Linked DNA regions of Saccharomyces cerevisiae S288C. The gene in region 3 interacts genetically with the main gene of each other region. Each region holds a gene or a part of one and is shown on either strand. Other genes may lie near its edges.

Evidence for each region.
Region 1: mutations in ERD1 (region 3) and SHE10 together harm fitness more than expected from each alone (negative genetic interaction), as found in Saccharomyces cerevisiae (3 studies listed by BioGRID).
Region 2: mutations in ERD1 (region 3) and SLP1 together harm fitness more than expected from each alone (negative genetic interaction), as found in Saccharomyces cerevisiae (3 studies listed by BioGRID).
Region 4: mutations in ERD1 (region 3) and OPY2 together harm fitness more than expected from each alone (negative genetic interaction), as found in Saccharomyces cerevisiae (3 studies listed by BioGRID).

The regions. Positions count from the first base shown.
Region 1 is NC_001139.9:64,137-72,482, reverse strand, and holds SHE10 (She10p), read right to left. Parts: upstream 4,886-8,346; coding exon 3,152-4,885; downstream 1-3,151. Other genes in the region: glucose-induced degradation complex subunit VID30, read right to left, coding at 1-2,812; SAP4 (Sap4p), read left to right, coding at 5,524-7,980; YGL230C (uncharacterized protein), read left to right, coding at 8,268-8,346.
Region 2 is NC_001147.6:620,186-628,355, reverse strand, and holds SLP1 (Slp1p), read right to left. Parts: upstream 3,628-8,170; coding exon 1,864-3,627; downstream 1-1,863. Other genes in the region: ISN1 (IMP 5'-nucleotidase), read left to right, coding at 376-1,728; ATP-binding cassette multidrug transporter PDR5, read right to left, coding at 3,981-8,170. UniProt on the Saccharomyces cerevisiae protein: May be involved in membrane protein folding. Required for localization of MPS3 to the nuclear envelope.
Region 3 is NC_001136.10:1,292,713-1,300,450, forward strand, and holds ERD1 (Erd1p), read right to left. Parts: upstream 3,975-7,738; coding exon 2,886-3,974; downstream 1-2,885. Other genes in the region: STE14 (protein-S-isoprenylcysteine carboxyl O-methyltransferase), read right to left, coding at 1-379; DFM1 (Dfm1p), read right to left, coding at 657-1,682; rRNA-processing protein RRP17, read left to right, coding at 1,981-2,688; YDR415C (putative aminopeptidase), read right to left, coding at 4,325-5,449; mRNA splicing protein SYF1, read left to right, coding at 5,720-7,738. UniProt on the Saccharomyces cerevisiae protein: Required for the retention of luminal endoplasmic reticulum proteins, affects glycoprotein processing in the Golgi apparatus.
Region 4 is NC_001148.4:693,318-700,694, forward strand, and holds OPY2 (Opy2p), read right to left. Parts: upstream 3,503-7,377; coding exon 2,420-3,502; downstream 1-2,419. Other genes in the region: transketolase TKL1, read right to left, coding at 1-1,521; YPR078C (uncharacterized protein), read right to left, coding at 3,830-4,948; MRL1 (Mrl1p), read left to right, coding at 5,552-6,697; TEF1 (translation elongation factor EF-1 alpha), read left to right, coding at 7,277-7,377.

The DNA.
Region 1 (8,346 bases), on a different chromosome or scaffold from region 3:
TTGAACCGAACGCGTTATACTCAAGTAATGTAGAAAGCATAGCTCTAGTGTTTGATATTACATTCTCTAATGCGCATTCGCTATCCTTATGTAAAAATGTTAGTATTGTGTTGTTACTAACTTGAAATAATCTCTCTTGTAAGTATTCGTCACTCAAATATCCTGATATCTCCTTTGGTGCCTCCACAAGTGGATTGGAATATGCTAACAATGCAGAGACATTACTCAATTGTCCACTAAACCTATCCCTCAAAGATTGTGGAATTTTAGTATCGTAGATAAATTCATTAGATAATTCTTGACCCTTCAAAATTAAATTTTCAATTTCGTCATCATCTTTGGATGAACTCTTTTTAATCATCACCAGATAATTCGCTAGTTTTAACTCAAATACCAATTCTAGATTATTTTTTAACAGATCTGGAATTTCGTTATCGATATAATTGATGCATTTGCTAATTTGACCTTTGTTTATCAAGTATCTTAATTCTTGCCTTATCTTTACCATACGTTCTTCTTTCATGATCTGTCTTTCATTGTGCCTGATAACATCTTTACTTTCAGAATGTTGCCCATTGACATTAACCGCATCTTTTTGCAAATCTTTCAAAAACCCCTTTGCAACATCCACCAATCCTTCGTGGATCAAATAATCATTTATCATCACGTTTAATGTATTAGGCAATGAACCGTCATCCACGCTTAAGTTGTTAATATTGTTCACGTCTGGTCTAACTAGCTTTCCATCTATAAACCTATTATCTTCTCCCAAAAGAAACTTCAGATTGTTGTCCTTCTCATCGTTAAGCTTCTTTGTATCCTTATTACCAGCGGCACCATCCTCTTGATCAATATCCATCAAATCTTCATTAACGTTTGTTGATTTATTTTCTTCAGGCCCATTTTCAGTTTCATCTTCCTCACTTTCATCAGAGTCGAATTCTTCAATTGAAACGTCCATTTGGCGTCCACGACAAATATGCTCATACGCCAAACTCTTCCATTTATCTTGATATCCAATAATGTCAAATACAAAATCCTCATTTAACCCAAAATTTGTTTTGATAGAATTCCCAGGTCGTAAGGCCACATATGGGACGAATTCTAGATCATTCAAGTCGGTGAATGCGTTACCTAAATGGATACCATTCTTCGTGAAAAAAATTGAGCCATCGATAAAATTTATGCCACAACCAATAACGTCATCCCTACCAAAAGGCTTAGCATATTCCTTAGATTGTTCTGTAGAATTAGTTATCAAACCGTCAAATCCGCAATAGCCAAATACATTAAGATCAAATCCGTATTTCTGACACTTATTTATGGAACCATCCACGTTAAGAGACATGGCTGAAACGCCCCCTTCATAAATATAATCACGCCTTTGAGTACCTTCCATAGTGAAAGAAGTAGAAGGTACTCTATTGGAACTCATGTTATTACTACCACCTAAGCTACTACTAGAACCGGCCACGCTTGAACGAGAAACACTCTTTTTTGTAGTCGCTTCCATTAATTCATTCTCTACTAACTTGTATCCGATAACAATGTTACTATTTTCAGCACTCTCTGTACTCGTTACACTGAGAACTTTAATCTCGTAATAGAATATAGTTAACTTATTGTCTGGCAATGACTTATTTGCCCAAGTGACTGCAAAGTCCACTTTCCCAGAGTTCTCAAAAGAGGTTCTCAGTCTATTTCTGGTAGAGGCAGAAGAAGCGCTTGATCTTTCATAAGTCATGTATGAGTGATAATCAGGATTAGGTTGTAAATGAGTAATACCATCTTGAGATAGCTGCAAGCTGTTATTTGGTTGAGCTTGCCATCTAGAAGGTAAAAAGTACCCAAGTATTTTGTAAATATCAGGGATCATTGAGTTTTTCTTTTTGCTACCACTGTTGGACAAAACATTTGTTGCCTCATTGTCATTTTTGTCGTTACCAGACGATACTCTAGGAGAAGAAAAGGAAGAACTTGGAGACTGATCAGGGGGGTAGTATTGTAGACCACTGTTCTTGTCAGATGTATCCCACAAATTCCTTGATTCTGTTTCTATATTAATAGCTGATCTAGATCTTTGATATATCCATGGGTCCGCAACCCTTTCGGCACGCTGCTGTGCACTGGACACATCAGCATCAGCTCCTCTACTTCCTTCTTCTCCACCTTCCTCGTGATTGTCAGAGCCATCTCCTTCGTTGTTATCGTCCGTGTCAGTATCCACTTCCCCTTCTAAGCTTTCCAGATCGGATTCATCGTCGTCGTCGTCATCGTCATCGTCATCATCGTCATCATCATCATCGTCATCATCATCGTCATTTCTGTCATTTTCCAGGCTGGTATTAGAGTTAAGCGCCATTTCACGTTCGGATAAAACGGGTTCTAATAGTTCCTGAGCATTTTTCCTCATGTCTGAGGAAGCTTTCATAACTCGCACTGAATTTTTATTTGAATCTTTAACACCAAATCTCAAAGTAAAATCATTAACGTCTGGATAGAAATATTTATAGACTTGAATCAGGTAATCGTCGTTGACAGCTTCAAACGAAATTGTGCCTAGAACACCCAAATTCATCAATTTAGACCAGATTTCTTTCCTTGTTAAAGCAGTTAACTTTGTCCTGCCCATTCCAACGCCAGTGGGATTTTCATCAGCGTTGATTAAGTTAGTGTTCTTCAGTTTGTGAAAGAGTTTTCTATGTTGCAAATATAAAATCCATAAATCATAAGCCACAGGCTGTTGCAGCAAGTAGCTCGGGAACAAACAGTTAATGAATTCGCGGTCTACGTCATCCATATATTCAGACATTTCCTCTTAATTATGCTGAAATTCGACGCTTGGCTTTAACGTACTACTAATATTTCTGCTATAACAGTAACAGTTCTGGTCCAATCCTTTGGCTCTTTCTTTTGGTTGATCGATTCATCAGTTCCCTCCCCTGAAAGGCTCGCGCGTCCTGTAATCTAGCAAAAATAGGCAGGATACAAAATACAGTGGAGTGGTAATATTATATTCTTATATGGCTATATATGTTTATATATAAAGGTAAAGACAAACAATAAAGAACATACATATATATATAGATAGATATTGTGTGTGTGTGTGTGTGTGTGTGTGTGTGTGTGTATAGCAAGCGCATGAATTTCATCACAATGTCATGGTAATGGTTGTGGTGATGGTCGAAGTAGAGGTGTAGGATACGTCTTCTTCGTCTTCTTCTTCCTGTTGTCGTAATAGCTCCTGCTGCCTTTGGAACTCTTCTGCTGCAGCTTTTTCACGCTCTTTTCTTTCACGTTCCTTTCTTTCACGTTCCTGAAATTGCAGGTTGGCTTTCGATCTTAGAATATACAAAAACTCACCACTCTCTTGAGTGAACGATAATATCTTCTTTTGCACTTTTTGCCTAAACGCGTTAACACGGGATAAGTCAGCGGAATGGTGAGCCAGCTTGTCTCTAGATTCTATGATCTGTTTCTTGCCCTTCAAAAACTTCTTCCAGTTAACAGAAGACTTTGCTTTCTCTTCATCAAGCGTAGTGTCATCATCTGCACCCATGTGAGCGTTGATAACATCCACATAAGCCATTCTTTTGGACCATTCATTTACAATGATATCACCCCATTCTTCAAATACCTCGACGTTTTCCTCTCTAATTGCATTAACTTTTTTTTCAATTTCATCAGTGATTTCGCTCAAATCTTTCTCCATAGCATTTGTCAGTTCGTCTAACGTCGAGCGCGTCTCGTTGAAGTACTCACGAACTAACTCTCTCGTTATGTACTGAGAAATCTCAGTACTTCCAGATTTATCGAAGAAAATTTTCTTGCCAGTTTCACTATCAATGCCTTCCACACATTCAATATCGTTAATGGCTAGCGAAATCTTGGAGAAGAACTTCTTAGATTTATCATCTAAAGATTGAAACTTGGCTTTAAAATGGTTGGCCTCCTCAACCAATTTACCATTGATGTATTTGGAAACATCCTTTTCAAATAGCTGTATGACGTCTTGTGTTTTCTGCAATATAGTCTCACTCCACATGTCAAAATCCTCTTGCAACAGAGCCTGTTCATTGACATTGACGTCTGTGGAGCCTTCAACGTCTGTGGAAGCCTCATCGTCGTGCGCATGATTAGCAACAGCGCTAGCCTCTTCCTGGTCCAAAGTAATTGTTTCAACCACTGTTTGAGTACTTGTTGTAGTTAGCTCCTCTTCGTCAGACTCCATAGTACTTACGGTTAAAACCATGTCCTCCGAGGAAGGCTCACGTGTGACAGAACCATGAATGCCATGCGTGTCCTTATTCTTGAACTTTCCCATTAATTTTTCCTCTGTATTACCAACAATAAAGTCGTATTTGGATTTGATGCATCTTGAAGTGATAGTAAAGTAATAATGGCCTATATTTTTATACTTTAAAATTCTTTCCTTCAAATGAGAGCGAAACTCCGCAGTAAAGAATTTGTCTAAGTTAGGTTTCACAAAAGCATTGTATTTTGCGAAGAAAAATCGTCTAGTCTTGACCATTGGGGAGCGGACCAATTGGTAATACTTTCCACAGTTCCATTTCTTACATTGTGAATGGATGACCTTGAATGCAGGCTGTATAGCGACCTTGTTCACTTTTACTGTAGCGTCATCGATGACAGGTTTGACAGCCGTGTCATATTTACGCGCCACTATATCGAAACCGGGACTAACTTTATTTTTGTATAATTCACAATTTCTTGAAAAGTAGGTGTTCCAGACTCTTGGATTGGTATAATGGCAAAGCGTTTGCGTGCGTTCACACGATATGCTCCCACTATTGAATTCGCAACAGTACTGAAGCAACGATACCAACACCGTCAGAGTTGTGATTAACTTTATCAGCTTTCCCATTTCGTTACGCTGCGTTCTTGTTTAGATGTAACAGCTTTTGTGCATCCAAGATATAAAGTACTTCAGAAATGGTGGTTGAAACAGAATGCCCATTACGCTTACTTTAAGGCTGTTCTTCAAGTTGATCCTTTCTTTGATACATGATTATCATCATGTACGTAGAAATCCGCCTTATTTCCGAAACCTGACTATCTTAGGGTTATACATAGAAACGTATAGGACATTTCTTACTTTTGAAAATTGTTCCTTGGGCAGTTCAGGGTTTAGTTAGGGTATTGATGCCAGCCCTAAATCCCCTAAATAAGAACTCTCGAGGATAATAACAGACAATAAACCAAGAGTTCATCCACGTATGATGGCTGTTTTTTATTCTGTCGGTTTTTGGTTGCCGTAGTAAATATAATTTGGTAAGCGTGTTGTGCTGTGTTGTGTTGTGTTGTGTTGTGTTGTGTTCTACTAATTGGATTGTGCGAATAAGTGAAACGGTTGCTTCACCCAGCGGGAAAAGGACAACCTGGTATTTGGTGTGAGATAAAGTTATAGACAATCTGGTCTTTTGTTATTAAGTTCTCTTTTCTTCTATACCGTCCAGTTTACTGCTCTCTTGCTTTTCGATAAAGCTAAAATAAAATAAAAATATGTCACTATGGCCCTTTGGAGAGACGCTGAGTCATTCCGGAATTGATTCGATACTTGAAGAGTACTATCTAATTTTTCGTAGTTTGGAGGGAAATGAGACCTCTTCAACTGACGACAAGAAGAATGAGCCTTCTATGGAGTCAGAGTCCGAATTTGGTACCGAGTCTCGGGATAGGAGTGACCTTAACCAGTCATTTATTGATAGGATCTTGTTGGAAACAGCTTTGCTGGATGAACTGAATGGAGCAGCCAACGACAGACTCGTCGACTTCATTTGCTTGGGATATTTCTATGACGACCGTTCCCAGCAGGTCCGCCACATGGACTACCTAGTGGACATGTTGATGGCTTACCTGAAGGACATAGACCGCACTGGTTATAGAACCCCATTTCTTTTAGAGAATTCATTCCATCAAACAGGTGAATATGAAGATCAGGACGATGAAGACCCAATGCTGTATGTCAACATTATTTCCAGTATTTTTTGTTCGAAAAGTGCGCCCATAGTGGAGGCACTCGTGCAAAATACCCCATTTTTGTCCTCTCTGTTCGAGGTTTTCCAGTTTGAAAATATTGAGGCAGAAAATTGTCCTATCTTGGCTGTTTTCCTTAAGATTAACGAAACTCTTCTGTTTGAACAGACATCTAGCTATTTGGAATTTTTCAAATCGCAACCGAACATTGTGGACAAGTTCTTATATCATATTGAAGTCTCACCCTTGGTTGAATTTCTCATTAAAATCATGCTGACTGATCAAGTTGAATCACCTACGAACATTATTGACTTCTTGTATCACCAGGATCTGATACCTAAGTGTTTGAATCTCTTGGAAAATAGCAAATACTCACCTGGTATTCAAAACAGTAGCGGAGAGCTTCTAAAAGCACTGATCAGCATTTCCACCAATTTTAAACTGGATACTTTGTGGATCGGACCTAACCGATTGACAAGACAGCTTGCCTCTCCGCAATATGTCGACCAACTTATTAATATAATCTTATTTCAAAGAGGCCATGCAATGGGAGTTGCCGTATCTATTATAATTGAGTTGATCAGGAAGAATAATTCCGACTATGACGAAGTAGATTTGTTAAGTACCACCATAGTAGACAATCCGCCTTCTCAAAGAGATCCAGTCTATTTGGGCCATTTGTTATATGAGCTCACTATGCATATGGAAGATTTTTATGCATTACTAATTAAACTTGAAAATGATGATGACGATGATCATGACACTGCTTCAAAAGCTCTTCCATCTGTTAAGCATCACCTACTAGAAAACCAATTGCATGAATCATTCAGGCCTTTGGGCTTTGAAAGAGTCAAGATTACAGAATTGATATCGGAAATGTTACACTGTTCAAATATGGGATTGATGAATTCAAAAAGAGGCGAAAAAATAGCACGTACCAGAGATAAATGCAGGGACACTCTTGATCAAAACTCACTAGAGAAAGCCATGAAAAATTTAAATATAAATGATAATACTATTACTTCCAATACATTAGAAGATAAATGTAATAATAATGATAGTAATGACAGTAATGACAACCAAAAACAAAAAAAAAATATTAAAAAAAAGTTTCATGATAATGAATTGTATTCTACTTTTGATACATCTGATGACAATATTGATGATGATGATGATATGAGTTTTGAAATTCCTTACGTCAGTGAAACGCAAAATTTGAAAATACGTAAAAACCCTACCATTGGAGATTTATTCAAAATTAAACTTCATGACCTTGGGTTTTTTCCAAAGTTTCTACAATTATTCTTAAGATATCCTTGGAATAACTTTTGGCACAACATTGTATTTGATATTATTCAGCAGATATTCAATGGTCGAATGGATTTTTCTTATAACTCATTTTTGGTCTATTCTTTGTTTGATTTCAAAAAGTCTACAAGATTTATCCCAAAACCTTTGTACGGCAGCAACCAAAAGTTACCTGTTAAAGACTTCCATATTATCTCTGATTTCATTTTACAAGGCCACAAGGATTCGTTTGAATTTTACGAAAAAGAGAAAACAAATTTAGGTTATATGGGTCAATTAGTATTAATTGCCGAAGAAATTGCGAAGTATTCCAAAATTTATAAGACCGATCTAATTGCTCCAGATATATATGCCTTCTTACAAGATGAAGTTTGGATGTCATATTCTAGTGACATCTTGAACGAAACAAGGACAATGTGTTCAATAATTCTTGGTGGAGGCCAGTTCTGTGCCGAAAGCGATGAAAATACTAACCAGGACTTTTTGGAAAAAGCTGATATGAGTAAACCAGCTCATCCATCCACAATGGATGAGAATGAAATTGTTCACGAGGAGGATGTTAAGTTGCATGATAAAGTTGCCGAGCTCATAGATGAATTGGGTCAATTAACCGAATTAGATATTCATGATAAAATTAAAGATGTTATTGTTGATCATCATTCCGACTTAAATTGATTAGGTTAAGTCGTCAAACCAATTTTGACTTTTTTTTTCCTACATTTTTAATATTTTGTTTCTCGTTTTGCCTTATTTAATTTTGTGACATGTAAAAATTACGAAGCCTATTGGGGGCCAATTGAAGTAAACTAAATATAACAATAGTCCTTTGTAGTTCAGGAATGTTCACCAACTATTCACCAAAAATTATTGTCTAGCTTACTTTCAATAACTTATAGCTATCTATACAAAAATAATCATATAACTAAAGTCAGGCCCAAACCAGGCAAAACAAAACCATAATAATGGGAATTATTACACTATCCGGCAATGTTCTACATTTATTGAAAGCCTACCCAAAAAAGGGCCTTGAAGAGGTTTCTC
Region 2 (8,170 bases), on a different chromosome or scaffold from region 3:
CCGTCTTTTGATTTCTTTCCTTTCCGATTGTATTCTATTTTTATTTCTATTGTTTCATTTCGCTCTTAATATTGACTTCCACTTTTGGGCGTAAATGATGTTTTTGTTTTGATAAATATTACGACTTTTGTTATGTTTTTTTACTACTGTGGTTACTTCATGGGTGTAGTGTGCGAATCTGCAGTGATAGGTTTCTATAGATTTCTCTGTATACTTCCTGTATTACACTATAATATTTCATGTCCTTTCACTTCCCACGTTTAGCGGGACAGGCCGCCCTTAAATTAACAAAATTTAAAAGGTAAAGGAATGTACTAAGAAAAGAAAACTATTCAAAGAAAGTAACAAAAGATCGTGAGTTAACTTATAATAGCAATGTCCTCAAGATATAGAGTGGAATATCATTTGAAGAGCCACCGCAAGGATGAGTTTATAGATTGGGTAAAGGGGCTACTGGCCTCACCTTTTGTTCTACATGCCGTCTCTCATGAAGGTGACTACAATGACGACTTAGCAACAACTCAACGTGTAAGGTCGCAGTATGCTGATATCTTTAAAGACATTGAAGGGCTGATTAAAGATAAAATAGAATTTGACTCAAGAAACATGAGCCAAGACGAAATTGAAGATGGCGCCTCTTCTCAATCTCTGAATATATTAGGACAATCGCGTTTAAATCTTTTGGTTCCATCAATTGGAACATTCTTTACGGAACTTCCATTGGAACAAGCTTTTCTATGGGAAGACTCACAACGGGCCATTTCGGCGCGTAGAATGGTAGCACCCAGTTTTAATGATATCAGGCATATCCTGAATACTGCACAGATATTTCACTTTAAGAAACAGGAGAACTTACATAATGGTAAGGTTTTGAGATTAGTGACTTTTGATGGAGATGTGACGCTGTATGAAGATGGTGGCTCCCTGGTTTACACTAATCCTGTAATTCCTTATATTCTCAAGCTGTTGCGGTGCGGTATCAATGTGGGAATAGTCACTGCGGCCGGATATGATGAAGCTGGAACCTATGAGAACAGATTGAAAGGATTAATTGTTGCATTACATGATTCAACTGATATACCAGTTTCTCAAAAGCAGAATTTAACAATAATGGGTGGTGAGTCGAGTTACCTTTTCCGTTACTATGAAGACCCGGAGGAAGATAACTTTGGCTTTAGACAAATTGACAAAGAGGAATGGCTATTGCCTAGAATGAAGGCTTGGTCCCTCGAGGACGTGGAAAAGACTTTGGACTTTGCCGAGAGAACTCTTAACAGGTTAAGAAAAAGACTAAACCTACCTTCAGAGATTTCTATTATCCGTAAAGTCAGGGCAGTGGGTATCGTCCCAGGCGAACGGTACGATGAAGCTTCTAAAAGACAAGTTCCTGTTAAGCTTGATAGGGAACAACTGGAGGAAATAGTTTTAACCCTTCAAAACACTTTAGAGTCTTTTGCCCCATCTAGAAGAATTCAATTTAGTTGTTTTGATGGTGGTAGTGATGTCTGGTGTGATATTGGGGGGAAAGATCTTGGTGTTCGTTCATTGCAACAATTTTATAACCCTGAATCTCCTATCCAACCCTCTGAAACCTTACACGTAGGCGATCAGTTTGCACCGGTGGGATCAGCAAATGATTTTAAGGCAAGGCTAGCTGGATGTACCCTCTGGATAGCATCCCCTCAAGAAACAGTGAATTATCTTCATAGATTATTAGAAACTGATTAAAACAGTTTATGTAAAATGAAATTAGGACTATAAAAGTATATAGATATTTCCTATAGAAACACCTCATATATGGCGGTGGATTTTTTCATCTTGAATGAATTATGCTTAGAATTATGATTATGGGCCCTCTAGGATTCATCTGATTGCTTGTTGAACAATGTCTGCCTTTTCAATAGCGCCATTTTTGCTCTCTTCGAAATCTTCAAAGTAAAGCTCTCTCGTTATTAATAGATAGGATATCAACCCTACGAAGGCGAAAAATGACGCATAAACAATTCTTCTTTGAAAACTGACTTCTTTTTCCAATCTTTCCAAATGCAATAAATGACGGTTAGTAAATTTGTCATTCTCCAGTTTCTGTTCTTCTAATATACGTAAAGATTGATCTTTCAATTGATTGGCAAAGTTATTCAGCAGATCTAGATTACTCATCATTGTTTCGTTGAATATCGTGACAAGATGACTGAACTTTGCTTCGTGCGCCATTTCAAGTTGTTCAAACGATTTAGATAGCAGTTTGCTCTGTTCCTCAATGTAAGAAACTGTCAAACTAGAATTTGTCTCCAGTTGTGACAGCCTTTTCATGATGTTCTTAAAAATGGATTCTTCTGGAATTACAGGAACAGCCGAAGAAGAAGAAGAAGATATCATTTGCTTGGAAGGACAAAAGGATGCATTAAGCACCTTGAAAAATTCATCGAACTTCAAAGGGATGAGCTTTGAAGTACATGATAATGCACCAGCTAAGTCTGAGAGATTGCTTGTGTTTGGAGTCTCTAAACGCGTTTCTATATTGTTACATCTGTCTTGGATATTTTGTTCATTCAAATTGTTTATATTGTTAGTTCCTATGGATTGTTCTTTATCCTCTTGAGCCTTTAGTTGATCGATCTTAAACTCATCCATCATTGATTTACCATATACTTTGATTAAGGATATGGGACAATAAAATTCGTCCTCATAATGGGATAGAATTTCGATTTTCAAATAACTTGCCCAGATTTGGGGATTATGTATTTGAAACTTTTGTAGTTCTCTTGAATTTCTTGCCTCGAATTCTCCTAATATTGTCCATTCATTTTTAACCATCGGTATTCTATCAGAAACTGACACCCTAAATCTCTTGAAGGTCGAGGAAAAGAATTCGTAATTAGCAATTTCAATTTCCTCCACCAGGATATCTTCACAAAGCTCTATAACAATGAATTGCTGCGGAGCTGAACAGGGATTCAGTAAATACTTGTCTTTGCTCTCAATTAACGTAGAAGTCGCTCCAATCGCTTCTGGATTGCTTTTGACAATTGTTGCAGCGCAATCCAAGGATGCATAGTTGAATTTTTTTTTGTAAACTTTCTCTATGTCCTTTTCCTCATTGAATCCTTTTTGATTTTCTTCTCTTTCACTCCACTCGTTTTTGTTTGTCAAAAACCCCAAATCGATTTCCAACTCTTCTCCTATGCATTCTTTCTCTTTATAGCAAGAGGGATCGACTGGCTCCCTCACTCGACTAAGATGACGTTCAGGGCCTGATGAGTGCTCCTTCGACTTGACCTTCTTCCATTCGTCGAACGATAAAAATGAATTACTCGAATCGCCCGGATTCCTTGGTGTTGCAGGCTGTGTTAGTGCATCTTGCTCTTTCCTCTCACCGTTTTCCCGTATGTCAGCCTGCCGTATGTCAACTTTAGAGGCCTGTCTAAAATCATGGGTTCTTAAAGAACCGGTGGATAGTGGTGAGGAATGTTCTTTCTGCACGTTCGTTGTACTTCCAGTCGTGATCACAGTGGTATCATGTAGACCAATCTTCGCATTTTGAGCAGTTTTGTTCCTATCTAATGCAAAAGATCCGATTATACTTACCCACAAAATAAGGCCGTATATGAGAAGACGGTTCGCCATTCGGACAGATAATGATATAATATATCTTATATTTTAACTATATCCATTGCGTCCTTTCTTTTTAACCGTAAGGCACAGTTAAGAAATAATGTTTTCACACTAAATGCTGATGCCTATAAAAAAAAAGTACCGATGAGATAACCTAGGAATAAAATTCTCGGAATTCTTTCGGACATTGAACTTTGATTTATCAGAGCTGGTAAATTCAAGAAAATTGAAATGTAGAAAGCTCGCTGAATTAAGAAAAAAAAAATAAAAACTTATTATTACGCACCTATATGTAGTGATTATGTATGTTTATTAAAAAAGTCCATCTTGGTAAGTTTCTTTTCTTAACCAAATTCAAAATTCTATTATTTCTTGGAGAGTTTACCGTTCTTTTTAGGCACTCTTGCTAACCAGTAGAAAAAGACACCAGCGATATAATTGAATGCAATATAACAGATGAAGATACCATAATTTCTCCATCTCTCACTGTAGAAAGAATTGACATTAGCTAAGTAATCATTGGTTGTAGATATTTGACAGAAACTACAGGTGTCAGTGGCATTTTCATCAGTTAAGTAACCAGTCTTTGCTAGTTGTAAATATGGTTCCATGTACTGCCCACATGTCATACCGGATGGTGGTGTGAATTCTAGCAATTCGTAATCAGCGCATTTGACGTCTACGTTAGCAACACCAACAGCCAACAGAGCCTGAATGAAATAAGTCAAAGGTGAAACCCTGTACATGAATATCCAAAATCTAGGCATGGCACTTGGGGTAGTCATAACACCACAAAAAGACAAAGACATTGTAAACAACAAAGAGGCTAAGTTAGCTGCACTTTCTGCAACTTGGTTGAATGAAATGACAAGCAGACCCATAGAACCAACATAAACGTAGAAAGCACAAGAGAACAACCAAAATAAAGCACCCCTTTCATGCAACTGGCCAGCTGCAGACGCGTTGGAGTAAAATCCAATTGGATAATAGTAGATAAAATAAGCAATAGTACCTGCCAATATATTCCATGGAACTTCCACGAATATTTGAGCGAAGATAAATGAAATCCAAGAAAAAGTCCTTGAGGGGCGTTCCCTGGCCTCATACAAATCTCTTTGCTGGACAAAAGATGGTAGGTATTGTTGTAGAATAGGATTGAAAATAACCGTAAACATGAACACAGCCAACATTTGATTTTGTAAACCCTGTAGCGAGGTTCCTGCTTTGAAGAAAGTGAAACCGATGAACAATTGATTGAAAATAGTTAAAATAAACTTCGACCATAAATAATCTGGAGATCTCCAATATTGCTGGAATAGACGAATACTGACCAATTTTGTTTGATAAATAATTGATTGTGAAAATTCGTGTTTGTCCTCAGCTGCAGTTATCGAACCTTTCTTTGGTAATTCTCTTTCCATCCAATCTAATTCAGATTGAACGGCCCTGTACTCTTCAGAATTCCTCCAAACTTCGTAATAATCTTGATTTGCATGAGAGCCTGGAGCTGCACCAACAACTTCTAGCATCCATTCAGCTGGGTTGGCGTCAGCAGGGCATTTATGAGCACCATGGCTTTCAAAATAATCGATCATAGTTTTACAACCTTCGCCCAAGTCGCCAAAGTAGACAGTCTTACCACCACGTTGCATAAATAGTAAACGATCGAATTCTTGCATCAAAATAGCAGAGGGTTGGTGAATAGTACATAGAATTGCTTGACCATGATTTGCCAACTTTTTCATTAGCTGACAAATAGACCAAGCAGTTTGAGAATCCAAACCAGAAGTAGGTTCATCTAAAAAGACCAACAGTTTTGGTTTGGCAGTTAATTCAACACCAATGGTTAATCTTTTTCTTTGTTCAACGTTTAAACCTTCACCAGCAACACCAACAACAGCATCAGCATATTTTTCCATTTCAAGAATTTTAATAACTTCTTCAACATATCTGTTCTTTTCTTCAATGGAAACTTCAGCTGGTTGACGTAGGTAAGCAGAAAATCTCAATGACTCCCTCACAGTGGCAGTTTTCAAATGCAAATCTTGTTGCTGACAATAACCAATGGATCTTGGGAAAGATTTATCACGGGGAATACCATTGACCAAGATATCACCAGTTATAACACCCATGGTAACCCTTTCGGCCAAACAATCCAGAAGTGTGGTTTTACCAGCACCTGAAGCACCCATTAAAGCTGTTAAAGTACCTGGTTTAACCCAACCATCAACATTGTTCAAAATACGTCTTGTTTCGGCCTTAATCTGAACTTCGTAACAAAGGTTTCTCCAGTGAAATATAGCCTCTGACTTGGATAAACCAATTTCTCCGTAAGTATCGGATTCCTCTTCAGAGCTTTCTTGTAGCATTTTCCTATCGCTGGATAAGTCACTACGTTCCCCAACGTTTTCGGGGTCATTTGCATTCTTTTCAGTTAGTACACCTCTTTTCTTCATTCTTTTAACTATACTGCGTGGGAAAACTAATATTTCACCTTTTTGTTTAGCACCCTCGTTGTATTCACATAAGAATAGATAGACAAAGAAAAAGAAGACGACATAAGCCATACCAATACCGAAACCACGCCATTTGTCTTTGTGGTAGTATTGATAAGTTCCTCTAATGAAATCATCACCCAGAACATAGTCTTGGCCTGGAACAGCTCCAACCACGGTACAAACAGATTCTGTACTAGAAATGTTTGCATACGCAGGACCACGAGGAACATATTCAGCGCAGGGGAATTTTATACCATGAAACTCGTTAATTAACAAAGATTCGAATAAGTAAGCCAACGGATTGATATACCAAATCCATTTAGACCAACGTAGGATCTTCTTCTTAGGAATAGCAAAACCGGTATACATGGATAGAGCCAACAATAACATAGAAGCGGGAACCATAGCTTCTGACAATGTCTTTGTTAAGGAACCAACACATCTAAACAAGTGAGACATGGAGAAAACCGCGACAATGTTTATTAATAAGTAGAAAAAGAATACACCACCATTTCTTCTAAAGTCTACTAAGAAATAGAAGATTATATTGAAGCAAACAGCGATGATTAACTTTGAGGGTATTTCTGATAGAACTGATGCAAAAGCGTCAGCACTTGGATGGTATAACGAATATGTTCTATGTTTTTCAGTGATTGGTCTGGCCTCATATAACGAAAAGATTTCTAACAGAGAAGAAAATGCATTGAATAGAATTGCAAAAAACATAGCAGAACCACGGAAATAGAATGTAGAAGTATCACCCTTTTTCATGATCTTGAAAAACATTGAACCCAAGATTAAAGCCATACTACAGTTACCCAAAATCATAAATAATGTAAACCCGATATTATTTCGCAGTCTCCACATATTTCTGATTAATAGGTATTTAACTTGCATCATGTAGCTGACAGTATAAGGAGAGGAAGGTCTTGCTCTCTTGGACTGCTTAGCAATGTGGGCTTCCTTAATAGCTTCACGGCTTGCTTCATCGTCATTCAATAATCGTTGGTCGACTTCTTTCATTAGCTCTTTGTAATTTGGAGATTTTACCCAGTAATCGTTCATTTCCTTCGGGGTCTGTGGTATATGAATACCTTTTTTTAGCATATCTTTGTTCAGGGTTCTCTCAGAGGGACTTGTAACTGAGGTCAAAAAATCTGCGGTGGTTTGTCTGCTTGGACAAACATACCCCATATCTTCAAAGTACTTCTTGGCCTTATCGGCGGGGCCATAGTAGATCTGATAACCATCATCCAAAACACAGACTTTATTGAACAAGTCGTACGCATCTTGAGAACATTGATAGATGGCCACTGTGGCAGATGTATTGGAAATATCAGCTTGAGTCTTTAAGGCACGAATAAATTCCAAAGCGGTAGCGGAATCCAAACCCCTTGTAGCATTATCCCAGCATTGAAATTTGGATCCACAGATGGAGACTTCAGCAATGGAGACACGCTTCCTTTCACCACCGGAAACACCTCTGACGATGTCGTTACCAACTTTTGTATTCCTTGTATGCGATAAACCGTACGTTGCCATTGCTACTTCCGCCAAATGATTCGCATAACTTTCCCTATCGACACCCTTGATACGGTTCTGTGGGGTTTTCAACCTCGCTACTGTAACCAAAGTTTCGAAGACTGTTAAATGAGGCAGATGTACATCAGCTTCTGCGTTGTAAACAACTTCACCACGAAAATGTTTCTTAATATCATCACCTGAGTAGCCGCTGTAAGAAATTTTAGTATCTGCACCAAGATCAAAACCATGAGTATTTGAAGAGATGGATTTTAATAAAGTAGTACAGCCAGAGCCTGGTCTACCTAAAACGACTAGCAATTCACCTGGGTTTAGGCAACCATCCATTGGTTTCAAGATTTGGAAAGTATTGGTTTCTTTAGAACGTTGAAACTTTCTCAGCCCACTTTTTAGGATTTTGTATGGAATATTAACCACAGTTGACTGATAGGCGACATCTGCGGAAGCACCAGAAGCACTTAAGTTCTTCCAAGCGCAACCTAAGGAATAAGGCTTATAAAAGTCAGGGTCTGCCG
Region 3 (7,738 bases):
GACATCCAAGTACTGTACAAAGCTTGGTAGCTAGAGAGTAGCTAAAAATTTTCAGATCAGGAAAAAGAAAGCTTTCTACGAGGCATTCCAGAATAGCAAAGGAATGTGCCGCCATGTAACTTTTGCCGTTGTTCAGAAGAAAGGACTCTGAATGTACCTTAAGAGGATTGTATTTAGCTGTAATATAATACTCCAAAAAATGGAATAAGGACAGGGCAATAATAAAGAGGTTAAAATTCTTGAATCTAATTTGTGGAAAAAGACCAACAAATATACCTAAAAGAATCCCCAGTATGTAGGAAGTCATGGTCACCTCATGCAGCGGATTGCGTCTGATGTCTGGATACTCATGCTCGTCTTCTTGAAAATCTTGGTGCATGTTGTGTTCAAAAACGGTGACCACAATGAAAGAGGAGGTAAAAAGAGTAATTATCTTGAAATCGATTTTCACTTTCTTATATAATTCATCAACACGAGAACCTTTCTATATACTGGTGGTATCATGTAAAGAATTGTTTTACCATAGTGGCCCATTTGTCAATTCGTCTTGAGTGATGTTTCATTATCAATCGGTTGCTATGCCAACGAAAATACTATGTCAGACTCTCTTGATGTATATAATGAATGGCAAAGTACATAGAAATAGATAAAAGTTGTTATTGTGAGTCGGAGGGGCTGTTTGTTTGTCCTACTCGTTGGCCGCGGCCTTGAAATTGGTTCAAATTCGATGGGCCACTTCTTAATTGACTTCCAGAAGCTCTGCCTGAATCTGTGCCACTGGTTTGAGACAATGTTGCAGGGGCCGTACCCAATCGTTGACCTCTTCCACTAAAAGTTCTCGTTTCTCTTTGCGAAGATGGCACATTGGCAAAGTTGTTGTTGAATGTTGCAGTTTCATTGTGGGCACCCGTTATGCGAGCATATAGACTAGTAAACCACCATGGCGTTGAGAATTTCCCATTGGGCGAGATTCCGTAGGTTGGATCAGCTTTTCTGGATATCATCCCCCATATTGGCCCCAGTGTATGGGTATCTAAGCATGTATAAAGGTACCCTGTAGTAAAACCGATCAATGAGATTACGAAATCACCCTCATTAAAAACGAAAGAGATAAACAATTGAATTAAGGGGAAGTACTTCCCCCAAACAGGAATCAAACCATAAAACATGATCTGCACGTTGGCATTGTCGATCGACCAAGTATATGTAATGCATGATATGAACCCAGAGGTGAGCACAACAGGGTAGTAGGACCCATAAATGATTGTAGTGGCCGTAGTGATGGCTAGTATACAAAAGCACAGGTAGTAGGCATAGTCTACTGTTACCATCGGTCCTCGTCTATTGGACAAACCGGGACCAAAATGCCCTCGCTCCAACTGTGAGGACCTGTCATAAATACTATATAGTTCCATTAGCGCAGGCATGGCACGAGACGAAAGCATTACACAAGAAGTAAGAAGTCTCCATATCTGAACCTTCTTGAACGTCAAATTCCAAACATAAATAAAGTACCACGGATTGATTAGATTCAACCGGCCGACGATCGTCATAACGATCGCTAGAGTAAATAAAGTTCTTGTTATTGGGGGGATATTTAACCAGAATTCTTTTGGGCCCATCACATCATTATTACGGCCTCCATTTCCATGTAATGTACGCACATTCCTTGGGCCTGCCATTATTTCCTCGAAAATAGTTTTTGATTTGACTTGGAAATGCGGAATTCACTGGTAATTTGTTGTATTTTGCCTTATATCCTTTGTTTGATACTCTTGTCTTATATTGAAGAGGACACGATTTCATGAGCCGCGAACGGGTAAGTAGGGACTTTTCACATTTGAAATTTTTCAAATGTGATGAGGATCGATTCTGCAAAGCAGCAGATAATAGCAGATAAAAAATAGAGAGTTGCAATATTCAAGTTCCTGGTAGCTGCTCGAATCAAGAGGGGTGAATTAAAGGTTTTCGATTTTTGCTATGGCTGTTCACACCAATAGGCAAATCCTTACAAGAGGCAAAAACTATGCTACAAAGCAATCAAAGAAATTCGGTACCGATGAGGTGACGTTCGACAAGGATTCTCGTTTGGATTATCTGACTGGCTTTCACAAGAGAAAGCTTCAAAGACAAAAGAAAGCACAAGAGTTTATTAAGGAGCAGGAAAGGCTTAGAAAAATTGAAGAAAGACAGAAGATTCGGCAGGAACGTAAGGAGGTGATGGAAGAACAGTTAAAGACGTTTAAAGAGAGTTTAAACTTGGAAGCTGAGATAGAGGATGCGAAAAATGATAAGACGGAGGATTTGCAGGTAGAATCTGATGAATCCTGGCACGGGTTTGATTCTGATAAAGATGACGGCGATAACGACAATAATGAAAGTAGCGTAAAGCCTATTTTGAAGAAAGGAGCAATCACGGAAATATACGATGACTCAACTACTGTTGAATTGGAGACATTGGAACCCAATGATAACTTTGAATATTTAGCCCAGCTAAATAATGTCAAATTAGAAAAGGCAGAAAAAGTACTCAAACAAAGCATAAATAGAGCCACCAAATACGCGAAGTTTCTGGGCGTGGATGAGAAACAAAAGAAGAAGCCAAGAGTAAAAAAGTTCAGATATTTGACCAAAAATGAACGAAGAATAAACCAAAGAAAGGCAAACGACAACAAGCGTAGGAGATAATGCAGTCGCATTATCGTCGGGCACCGCCTGGGGTTTCTTGACGCTCAAACAGTGTTTGATTTTTTTTTGGAAAAGTATATACTGTGCATATGTATTTTTCGTTTATTATATGTAATATATCGAATAAACCATTCTACGGGGAAAATAGAACAAATATTTACAGCATTTGCATGATTTTATATGGCTTGCCCAACAAATTATTTGCTTGCAAACTTAATATAATACTCTGCGTCCAATTTGAAAACGACCCATATGCCTCTTCTAATTACTTCGAAATACTGCATTTCGCCTTGGAAAAAAATGTAGTCGCTATCTGCGGCAACTAATTTCAGATTCTGCGATAAATATACCCATAGCCACCAGAACCTCAGCAAAAAGTCAACGAGAATCGCCGAATGATACATTTTTTTCTTTAATGTGACGGCACTTTTGGATCTGGATCTTAAAGAGGTTAACGAGTCCAATGACCAATCCATCCTTACATCCCAAAATAACGTATAGGAAGAATTAATTAGCATAAACCATCTTTGAACGTGGTGTAGTCTTTCTTCGTTGATGGATCCCTCATACACTCTTGATCTCCAGGTGCAAAAAAGAATGGGAAGATTACAACTGTATTTCAATGCATTGAATAGTAAAGTTGCTTCGTGCAGTAAACGGTATTCTCTCAAACACTGCAGTAGTCTTACCAGTACAGGAAGAAGGGCTACGGATAGATCAAAATGTGTGAAGGGTTCTCTAAAAATTAGAGAGGTAAACAATGTGAAGTCTATCAATGGTTTTGCAAACGATGTCAACGTGTCAGAGATTAAAATGTAGGTATTCCTTAAGGAACGGGGGGAGGATTCTATCAACAAACATCTCCTAGTACAATATTTTATTATCTGGCACTCTTTCAACAGAAACCAAAATATAGTGACACATTGGATCAATGGTAGAAAATATACGATGAGAATGATATTTTTGAGTGGACCTTCTATAATATTCATGAACTCAAAAAGGAACACAGTGGCAAAGTGGAACGGTATAATAATCCTTGTTATCTTCAAAGCAAAATTTCTAGCTGTTCTATGCAATTGCTGTAGAGTATAACCTGGACGTATATCGTGCGGTACTCTCGTGAGTATGACTTGGGATACGTCTAAATTACTATGCAAGAAGAATTTTAATATCCATGTCCAGATCCAAAGGGCAAGTATTATGAGCACAATAAATCGCTGCGGAGGGGGAACATTTAATATATTTTGGAGATAAAGTCCTTCAGAATTACTTTCGCTTTTCTCCATATTTTGCGGCCCAACTTGTTGCAGAATTGAAAACTTTGTATAATACTAATAATAATTTATAATAATAACAATAATAATTTATAACAATAATAACAATGCCAAACAATTTATATGGGTAACCAGTTTTTGGTACTGTTTGCCATCAATATTGCGACTAAATCGGGAGCGGTTAGCGCTGGCTTGCACTTTTTGCAACTGACTCTATTTCTTTCATTGATTATGTTATTTTCAGATGACGAAATACGCCAAAAAAATTCGGGAAATAAATACTAGCGTGATATCGGTTTAGGTATATTACAAAAGAACACCAAGGTAAGGCATCATTAGTTATGTATGCATATTACTGACTTTTACCAAGCGGACCATGACCCGAGTTCAATGATTACCCCTAATACAATTTTTGTGTGTTCCGCCATATGAGCGAGACTTAATCTGTCCAAAGTATCCATGGTGCTGTGAATATACTTGTTAGTCTTTTTGAACTCACTTTCAATCACGAAGGAGCCTGGAAATCCGTTTCTGGTGGCACTCCCATGATCGCTACAAGCATAGCCACATTGTGTATCCCTGTAAGGAATGGATAGATAAGAGTTGATAATTAGTTTTATAAAATCAGTTAATGCGGGAGTAGTGTAGTCGGTGACAATCCCCACATGTTCATCTTCTGGATCAGAAACATATCCCGTCATGTCTTGCTGAAGCATCGCTCTCACATGCTTTTTCTGTTTGGCATAAGCTGTAAAAACATCAAGAGAACCCAACAATCCCCCCTCTTCGGCGGAATAAAAGTGAAATTCCACAGTGTTGTTAGGTCTAAATCCTCTCTTCAAAAAATTTTCCGTATATAATCTGAGAGCCTCCATATTAGTCACCGTGCCTGACCCATTGTCGTCCGCACCTGGAGCTGCCATTATGGATGGCAGTAGCAGATTGATAGAATCTTGATGAGAACCAATTATTATAATATCTTCTGGCGTAGTAGATCCCGTGACACGGACTATAATTGAATATTGCTTCCATTCTTTGTGATCAAAATGTTCAATAGTCAACGTATCTTGCGGAATATCTTTTGTAATATTAGCGATAGTTGCAGCTAACCACTCGGCAGATTCAAAGCCGTGATCGGACTTGTAGTAACGGGTGTAAAAACTTGTAAACTTTGCCAAGTTCTTGTGCATAGAGCCCTTGTCTATATTCTTAATCGAATCATCCACTACTTCTTTGTTCGATATCTCAGGAGGATAGTTATACGTTGGTACTGTTGGCTCTTCCTCCTTGTTAAAGAAAGGTAAGAAAGAAGTGTGTTTGGTCACATCAAAGAATTTGACACCTCTTCTTCGTAAGTTTAGCTTTTCTGATTCGGGAACCTCCATTACCTCATTCTCTCCTACTTGTAAAACCCTTAAAGGCTCATATGGATATGACCATGCGATGATGGCAACATTAAATAAAACAAAAAGCGACTGTATCCTCATATTGTGCTAATCAGCGGTTGATTATGTTACTTACTTTTTCGAATAAAGATTTTGTATTTCTTTAGCTTCGAAGATTGATAATTATTGAATATCAAGTTTCAGTTTACTATAGCGGTCCGAACATATGAAAGATTTTAGTAAAGACGCTGGCAAGCTTTTCAGTCAAAATAATACAAAAGGAAATAGATAGAAAAAAAGGAAATAATCAGGCCTCCATATTGGACTCAACTATCCTTCAGTACCGCAAAACTTATTGTGTCCATATATCCTATGTCAGCATACATCGCAATGAAAGGAGTAATAACAAACGTCGATGAGAACATAAGAAATGATGAAGATGTGGCTTTTGAGTACGAAATACAAAAGACACCGCAGAACATACTTACATGGAAAAGATATATCGAGTATTGGAAAGAGGAGGGAAGAACTGACAAACAGATTAGGTGGCTATATGAAAGATTTTGTTCACAATTTGTAACAGATACAAGTATATGGGAAGATTATATACGCTGGGAATCAACAAAGGAAGTAGTCGAAACTTCACGTATTTTCTGGCTTTTTCAAAGGTGCCTGAAAAGCTGTGTACGAGATTGTGACAGGATATGTTTGTCTTATTTAGAATTGGCAATTGAACAATATGACTTGGCAATGATAAGGCATGCCTTAGCTTCATCTTTAATGAAAATGGAGAGAGAAATGCATCGGAAAGTTTGGGATCCTGTCATAAAATTTGTGGAAGAAAAAGTTTTACCATTAACGCAACTGGATTCAACTCAAGAAGATGAAGAAGAAAGTACTGATGAAGCTGAATTGATAAATGTACTTTTAGTGAAGGGTTTCACGAAGGGAGGTTTTATTAGCGAGGAAATTAGTGAAAACGGAAGTAGAGGTGATATTTGGTCGTCACATATTTTAGAAAGATACTTAAAAGTGGCTCCTCAGCAAAAACGAAATGAATCGCTGGCAACTCTTGCATTAACTAGAGACAATATTACCATCAAATCAGTATATGAAAAGTATTTGCCACAAGATGAAAATAGTGGGAAGTATCTACCTAGTTCAGAACTGCCTTTTGAATTAAATTTCAATTATTTGGCCAGCCTAGAAAAACTAGGTTTAGATAATCAATATGAGGAGTTCATGAGGCAAATGAATGGCATATATCCCGACAAATGGCTTTTTTTGATCCTATCACTTGCCAAATATTATATCTCTCGCGGGAGGCTTGACAGTTGTGGTGATTTATTGAAGAAAAGTTTACAGCAAACACTTAGGTACAGTGATTTTGATCGCATCTATAATTTCTATTTGCTATTTGAGCAAGAGTGCTCCCAATTTATTCTGGGAAAGCTAAAGGAAAATGACAGCAAATTCTTTAATCAAAAAGATTGGACTGAAAAGTTACAAGCTCATATGGCGACATTTGAATCTTTAATCAACTTATATGATATCTATTTGAACGATGTCGCACTAAGGCAAGATTCCAACTTGGTGGAAACGTGGATGAAAAGAGTGTCCTTGCAGAAGTCAGCAGCGGAAAAGTGTAATGTGTATTCAGAAGCTATACTGAAAATTGATCCCCGAAAAGTTGGTACGCCTGGCTCTTTCGGTAGGCTTTGGTGTTCGTATGGGGATTTGTATTGGAGATCAAACGCAATTAGTACAGCTAGAGAATTGTGGACACAATCTCTGAAGGTACCGTATCCTTATATAGAAGATCTGGAAGAAATTTACCTAAACTGGGCTGATAGAGAATTAGATAAAGAAGGGGTGGAAAGAGCTTTTTCTATCCTTGAAGATGCATTACATGTGCCAACAAATCCAGAAATTCTCCTCGAAAAATATAAGAATGGACACAGAAAAATACCTGCTCAAACTGTTCTATTCAACTCATTACGTATTTGGTCCAAATACATTGATTATCTAGAGGCTTACTGCCCAAAGGATGCAAATTCCTCCGATAAAATATTCAATAAGACAAAAATGGCATACAATACTGTTATTGATTTGAGATTGATCACTCCAGCAATGGCAGAAAATTTTGCATTGTTCTTACAAAATCATTACGAAGTCATGGAAAGTTTTCAGGTGTATGAGAAAACAATCCCTCTGTTTCCCCCCGAAATCCAATACGAATTATGGATTGAGTATCTAGAAGTAGCGACATCACATCAATTGTCATCACTGAGTCCTGAACATATTAGATTTTTGTTTGAGAAAGCACTTAAGAATCTATGTTCAAATGGTATAGACTGTAAAACAATTTTTATCGCTTATAGCGTATTTGAA
Region 4 (7,377 bases), on a different chromosome or scaffold from region 3:
AACTTCGTTACCATCAGCTGGTCTCCAAACTTGAATGTTTGGTAGGGATCTGAAGTGTGCTAAAGTTTCAATAGGTTGATGTGTTGGACCATCTTCACCGACACCGATAGAGTCATGTGTAGCAACCCAAATAACTGGGTGGCCAGACAAAGCGGACAATCTAACGGCACCAGCAGCATAAGAAACGAAGTTCAAGAAAGTACCACCGTATGGTTTGTAGTTGGCACCGAAAGCTGAAATACCGTTCATTATGGCACCCATAGCGTGTTCTCTAATACCGTACCTAATGTATCTACCAGAGTAGTTACCTGAACCGGAAGAAGGAGGTTGGAAGTCAAGGGCTTCCTTCCATCTGGTCAAGTTAGAAGGTGTTAAATCGGCAGAACCACCAATCAACTCTGGCAATTGATTGTAAACATCCTCAAGAACAGTTTCTGATAATTTTCTAGTGGCCACGGCAGAGTCCTTGGCGGTGTAAGTTGGCAACTTAGATTCCCAATTTGCGGGTAGTTGGCCGCTCAATCTTCTAGCCAATTCAGCACCTAATTCTGGGAATTTCTTTTGGTATTCGCTGAACAACTTGTTCCACTTGTTGTTGGCTTCGACACCTGGCTTTAAAATTGTCTTTTGGTAGTGGTCGTAAACTTCTTGTGGAACAACAAAGGACTTGTCTGGGTTGAAACCGAATTTGCTCTTTAGTTGTTTAACATCATCTGCTTTCAATGGGGCACCGTGCACAGAGTGAGAGCCGGCATGCAAGGAACCGTAACCAATGGTTGTGGTCATTTTGATCAAAGTTGGTTTGTCCTTGGATAACTTAGCTTGAGCAATAGCCTTGGCAATACCGGCTAGATCTTCGTTACCATTTTCTACGTACAAAACTTCCCAACCGTAGGCTTCGTATCTCTTAGCAACATCTTCATCGAATGAGATACTGGTAGCACCATCGATAGTGATCTTGTTGTCATCGTAGATGGCAATCAAGTTACCCAATTTCAAATGACCAGCCAAGGAGGAAGCTTCTGAAGAAATACCTTCTTGCAAACAACCGTCACCCAAGAAAACATAGGTGTAGTTGTCAGACAAGGTAAAGCCCGGCTTGTTGTAAGTGGCAGCCAGGTTAGCTTGAGCCATGGCCATACCAACAGCGTTGGAGATACCTTGACCTAATGGACCGGTAGTAACTTCAACACCTGGCAACTCAAATTCAGGATGACCTGGTGTTCTGGAACCCAACTGTCTGAACTGTTTCAAGTCTTCAATAGACAGATCGTAACCAGTCAAATGTAGCATAGAATACAACAAAGCGACCGCGTGACCGTTAGACAAGACAAATCTATCTCTGTTGATCCAGTCTGGGTTGGTTGGGTTCATGCGCATTTGACTCCATAGAACGTGTGCAGCTGGTGCCATACCCAATGGAGCACCTGGGTGACCTGAGTTGGCCTTGGATACGGTGTCCACAGCCAAAATTCTTATGGTGGAGACGGCTAGCTTATCAATGTCAGTGAATTGAGTCATTTTGTTTGCTAAAGAGGTAACTATGTAGAGTTGCTTGGGATGAGCTTCCTTCTCTGTTGTACTTCAGTTTGATCTGAAACTTAAAAAACGAAATTTAAAAGGAAGACAACGGTGAGAACAAGAAATGAATGAATCAAGAAGTCACGATCAAGTATGTAGGTAAAAGATCAGGGGGGAGTATGTACGTAACCAAAAAGATTGGGAAAGAGTTTATATATGAATCATGCCTACGATCGTACCTTCTTGGCTTTCCCAAGAAAATTTTTCATCTCTCGAACTTCTCGAGAGATTGCGAACGGAACGGCAAACGCCGCCGGCATTTCTCGGAAAGAAGACTAGAAAATAAATGACGGTGGGAAAAAAAGCAAGAAGCTACGGTTACCCGCAGCGGCACTATAGTAGATGGGCTTTTAAGCCCGTTTTCAGGGTCAGGTAATATGTAATGTAGTAGCACTTAAACTTGCTAACCATAAATGACCAAAATGCAAGTTTGCTGTATTTTAGTCCCGTTGGCGTTTTCGGATGCTTCATTCCCCAGAGAAGTGATGTGTATGCGAAAAATGTCTCAATGCAGCTTTGGCTGCTGCGGAACTTATCCGCTTTGTAAGCACATCTTGTTTTAATGTGTATGAATTTTTATATTTGGTTCGAAAATTATGACATTCGGCCAAGAAACTTTCAGAGGAGCTGTGTATTAGCAGATGGTAAGCGCACGTTGAAAATGCTGAATATTATTAATTTAGACATACCTTGATGGCTGAACAGTAGTCAGAAAATTAAAAAAAAAAAAAAAGCGCTTATTACGGCGTATACACGTAACTATATAGACGTAGATCATTGAATATTGATATGATATAATATTTTCCCCGGGATTGCAGAATACTGACACGCCTTTTATTTATCGTTCATCGTGTATTTCGAACTTGTCCTCAAACGGGCTCTCAGTGCGACTGCCCTGGGTGCTCTCGCGTATCGATTCTGGAATTTCCAAGTCCAGTATAAAACTTCCTTCTTCATCGTCATCTTCGTCGTTATTACCATGGCTTGCCTCGCTTTTTGCCATGTGTGAAAGATCATCCGCCTCTGTCTGTTCTTCAATGACATCCAAGTCCTGAATCTCCTTATCACTCTCTTCCTCTGCGATTTGAACCAGTTTAGGTTTAGCACGAATAGCAGTTATGAGGTTATCGTCTGCGTCCTTATTGAGTACCTGGTTATGCTCGTCATCTTCGTCATCCAGACCATCCAAGATGGAAGAACCTAAGGTTATATGTGACCTGATATCACCAGCTGCATTTTGTCTCTTAGAGCTCGAGCGTAGTTTTGATTGCAGTTTGTCGGTACTCAAACCGCTTGTCACACCAGGAATGTAGGCAATAGGCAAAATATTAGAAGCCCTTGTACGAGTGGTAGATGCTGAACTTCTGTTTCCCGGCACGTTGAGAGTTGGAGGTACCAGTGACGTATTGAACAGGGTGTGACTTTCATCTTTTCTCATACCGCCATCATCCTCATCGTCTTCATCATCATCGTCTTCATCGTCGAAGTATTCCTCTTCATTCCCGTAACTTTGCGATGCCTCTTCCAATTTCAAAGCTTTATTTTTTTGCCTTTTGGGCTTCCAATATCTCTTGTTGATGAAATACAACGCCACCAAGGCAATAAGCATCGCACCACCTACAATACCCACGGTGAACCCCACAATCAACGAGGTTTTCTCATTTGAATTACTGGAACTAGAACTAGAGGAGGAGGAAGATAAACTACTCAGTTGTGAATCGGACTGTTTCGCACAGTATGTGGATGGGCACTTGTCACATGTTAATGAAGTCATAACACAATATTCTCCTGAAGCGCAAACAGGGCATGATGCAGTTGAATCGCAAACAACACATCCGTCGCTGCCTCTAGTTGCAGAAGTTGAAGAGGTGGCTGTGCTTGACAAGGATGAACTTGCAGAAGCCTTGGAGGAGCTCGACATTTTTTGTTTGATTTTCAGAAAACGAACGTAACCAGTTTGATAAATGTGGTGCCTCTCTTATTCGGCCTGGGAAGCAGTGCAACAATAGCGCACATTATAATCATTTGATTTTAAATTCACCCCAGGACAATGGGGCATTATTTTCTGTTGAGAGGGTAACGCGTTGTTTATTGAGAACTTAACGCGTTTCGATTTCAAGAATGCACTATAGTGCGGAAATGTAAACAGAATTTATTGATACTTGGCATTATTTGAATTTTATTTATATCTTGCCCGAACATGTCTTGACACAAGCAAGGAACGTTTGCTCATTAACCTTTTACACGGTTATGCTTGTACCAAAGGCTGATCACCTGGTTCGGGCACAAAACAGAGTTTAGTTTCCAACTGTGTTTCCTTTCCCGGATCAGATGATGGTAAGGGAACGGTAACGGCGTCTTCATCTTTACAAGGTTGGCCCTTCTTAAGATTTTGATGCTTTGTAGTCCATTTTTTGAATCTTCCTTGCAAAAGATAAATTTCCCTTCCCAAATTATTTCTAAGTGTGTCCCACACTCGTGGCACGTTTTCTTGATTTTTGTCGCCAAAATTAGCACTCTTATGGAAAATACGGAACATACCACCGCTGTTATTTTTAGAACTACTCTTTTCAGAGCCGAGCATATCAAGAGAAGTCCTGACATATCGGTATTTCAAAAGAGTCTTTTTATTCTCTTGCAAAGGAGGCCCGCTAATAATGCTTTCCGTATCATCAGTTACTAGCTCCTTTTTGATATTTTTCCCAAATGTGGGACTTATGGAGGTCTTCTCAGGTTCAGAAGCGGAGTGAATTTGGCAGGTTTCATCAATTTTAACTAATGTATCGTCATTTTCAAAATCGTCAGGTGTTAAGGGTGATATAATATTCAATCCATTCATAAAATCATCAATATCACTAAAATATGGTGTCTTGCCCCGTTCCATCAAGTCCTCTCCATATCCATATACTTTATCATCGTTTACCTCTTCCAGATTATTATCAGATGGTAGGGCTAATTTACTCTTATTTTTTCTAAACCACTTATTCAACCTCTGTCTCCAATCACGATCATAGCGGCCATGCAATTGAGAAAGACTCTTCAGCTGCGTATTTGAACTGCTTTCACTGTCAGAAAAATTCTTATTGGTTTTAAACCAGCCAGAACAAGATCGGAAAAAAGTATCACTTTCAGTAACTTCTTTAATCACTTTTTCCAGCCTGGCAATTTCTTGGTCAGTTTTATCGTGAATATGATCAACTCTGACACCTAATTGTGCAGTCTCATTGATTAACCTTCGTAAATCTTCGCTTTCAGTCAAATGCGTTGTTATTTCAGCTTCTTCGTCAAACTGGAAGGTTCGTTCATCATCAGACCTAAGCTCTGAGGGGCTTAATACTGTTGGTAAGACTCCAGAAATCGTTTGCATGATTGATATTTTATCTTTTTATATGATTTTGTTTTTTAGTTATACTTACGCTTGCTACCCTTACTTATGAAGTCAGTCTCTTTTGTTAGCTTTTATTACAACACTTATGAGAAATTTATAAAAAAATCCCAGGAATGCTTTCACAAATTATCCATTCTACATAAAATCTTTTTTTATAGTATTACTTTTTTGTGACATCAAAATGAAGCACTAAATAATTATAGAAAATATTCAGCAAAAAAAAAGAAAAACCTTCTTCTGAAAAAAAAAAAAAAAAATTCAAAAAAAGACACCTTTCTACCTTGGCAGTAAATTTCAAATTAATTATTTACCAAACTGTAGTTCCCGCTCACTAATCCTTTCTTATACTTATTCACATTACTGTCACTTTGCGGCTGTATTTGGCCGCGTTTCCCTTTCGGGTGCAGGTACAAGAGGTATCCGAAACAAGAAGGGTTAAGTTTTGAAGAAAATGCCAAGTATTTCAATTTCAATAATAAGAACGCAAAACTACAGGAGACTCTTACTAAGCATACTACTTCTCAAAAAAGGGCTTTATTTTATAGAACATAAAACATACTGTAGGATCGCACACTGGAAAATATGTTGAAACGATCATCTCTAATATATCTATCATGTGTCCTAATCATTACCATACCAATACTTTTGCATGTATACAATGGTCCAGGACTGTCCCATGAAGCCAATGAACATAGGGCTTCTCACAAGCAAAAAAGAACGTTAGCAAATCCGGATAAACCCAAAAGCGAAAACGATGAAGATCTATTTTGTGCGGTAACCAACCCAGTCACCGGATCATACATAGATCTATCACAGCTATCTTCAACTCCCAACAAATTAAGGGAGGGCCAAAAACAGATTTCTGGCAATAACAAGCATGAATCCTCCAAGACGAAGTGGTCAGTGAGAGGTTGGGGCTACGATACAAACTTCACGTTAGGCATCTGCTCTAGTCCTGTCGGAGAAGCTGAGTCGCAACAACTGTCCAATCTAACGGGCGCTTTTTACGTAGACCAGTTGAACGAAAATAATTTAGTATCGATTGGAGACTTCAGTACAAGGCCTGCGTTAGTCGGCGGCTCTACTGCCAAGAAATTAACTCTCAAATACGAAAACGGCTCTATGTGCCCGAACGGGAAGGACAAGAAGGCAACTTTATTGAATTTTGTCTGCGATAAAGAAATTCAATCAAAGGCCCAGATATCATACATTGGAAACCTACACAATTGCTCGTATTTCTTCGAAGTCCGCAGCATTCATGCGTGCCCCACCTCAAACAAAAAGAATGAAGTTAACGTTTTGGGTATCTTCATCGGTATCTTCGCTATATTCTTTTTAGTCGAATTTGCGGGGAGAAGATGGATCTATGCTAAACTAAATAGGCATTTGAAAAACGACGACGAGTTACACGACATATCGCCATCTTTAAATGAGCAACCACACTGGGACCTCATAGAGGACGGGTCTCGCTGGAGTAAATTTTTCAACGGGATAATTAAGACGACAAGAAGGTTCACGAAATCTTTAATGAGGTCTTTAGTCAGAGGCAGGAACAGCCGTCAAGGGGGCATAAGACTACGGTCATCCCCATCTGCCTCTTCGTCCAGCCTTGCCAACAGGGAGTTCTTCAGAGACATGGAGGCTCAAAACGAAATTATTGACAGCCTAGACATCAATAGTCATACAACAGAAAGCGACCACCCAACTTTGGCTGATAATAGCGTATAAACAATGCATACTTTGTACGTTCAAAATACAATGCAGTAGATATATTTATGCATATTACATATAATACATATCACATAGGAAGCAACAGGCGCGTTGGACTTTTAATTTTCGAGGACCGCGAATCCTTACATCACACCCAATCCCCCACAAGTGATCCCCCACACACCATAGCTTCAAAATGTTTCTACTCCTTTTTTACTCTTCCAGATTTTCTCGGACTCCGCGCATCGCCGTACCACTTCAAAACACCCAAGCACAGCATACTAAATTTCCCCTCTTTCTTCCTCTAGGGTGTCGTTAATTACCCGTACTAAAGGTTTGGAAAAGAAAAAAGAGACCGCCTCGTTTCTTTTTCTTCGTCGAAAAAGGCAATAAAAATTTTTATCACGTTTCTTTTTCTTGAAAATTTTTTTTTTTGATTTTTTTCTCTTTCGATGACCTCCCATTGATATTTAAGTTAATAAACGGTCTTCAATTTCTCAAGTTTCAGTTTCATTTTTCTTGTTCTATTACAACTTTTTTTACTTCTTGCTCATTAGAAAGAAAGCATAGCAATCTAATCTAAGTTTTAATTACAAAATGGGTAAAGAGAAGTCTCACATTAACGTTGTCGTTATCGGTCATGTCGATTCTGGTAAGTCTACCACTACCGGTCATTTGATTTACAAGTGTGGTGGTAT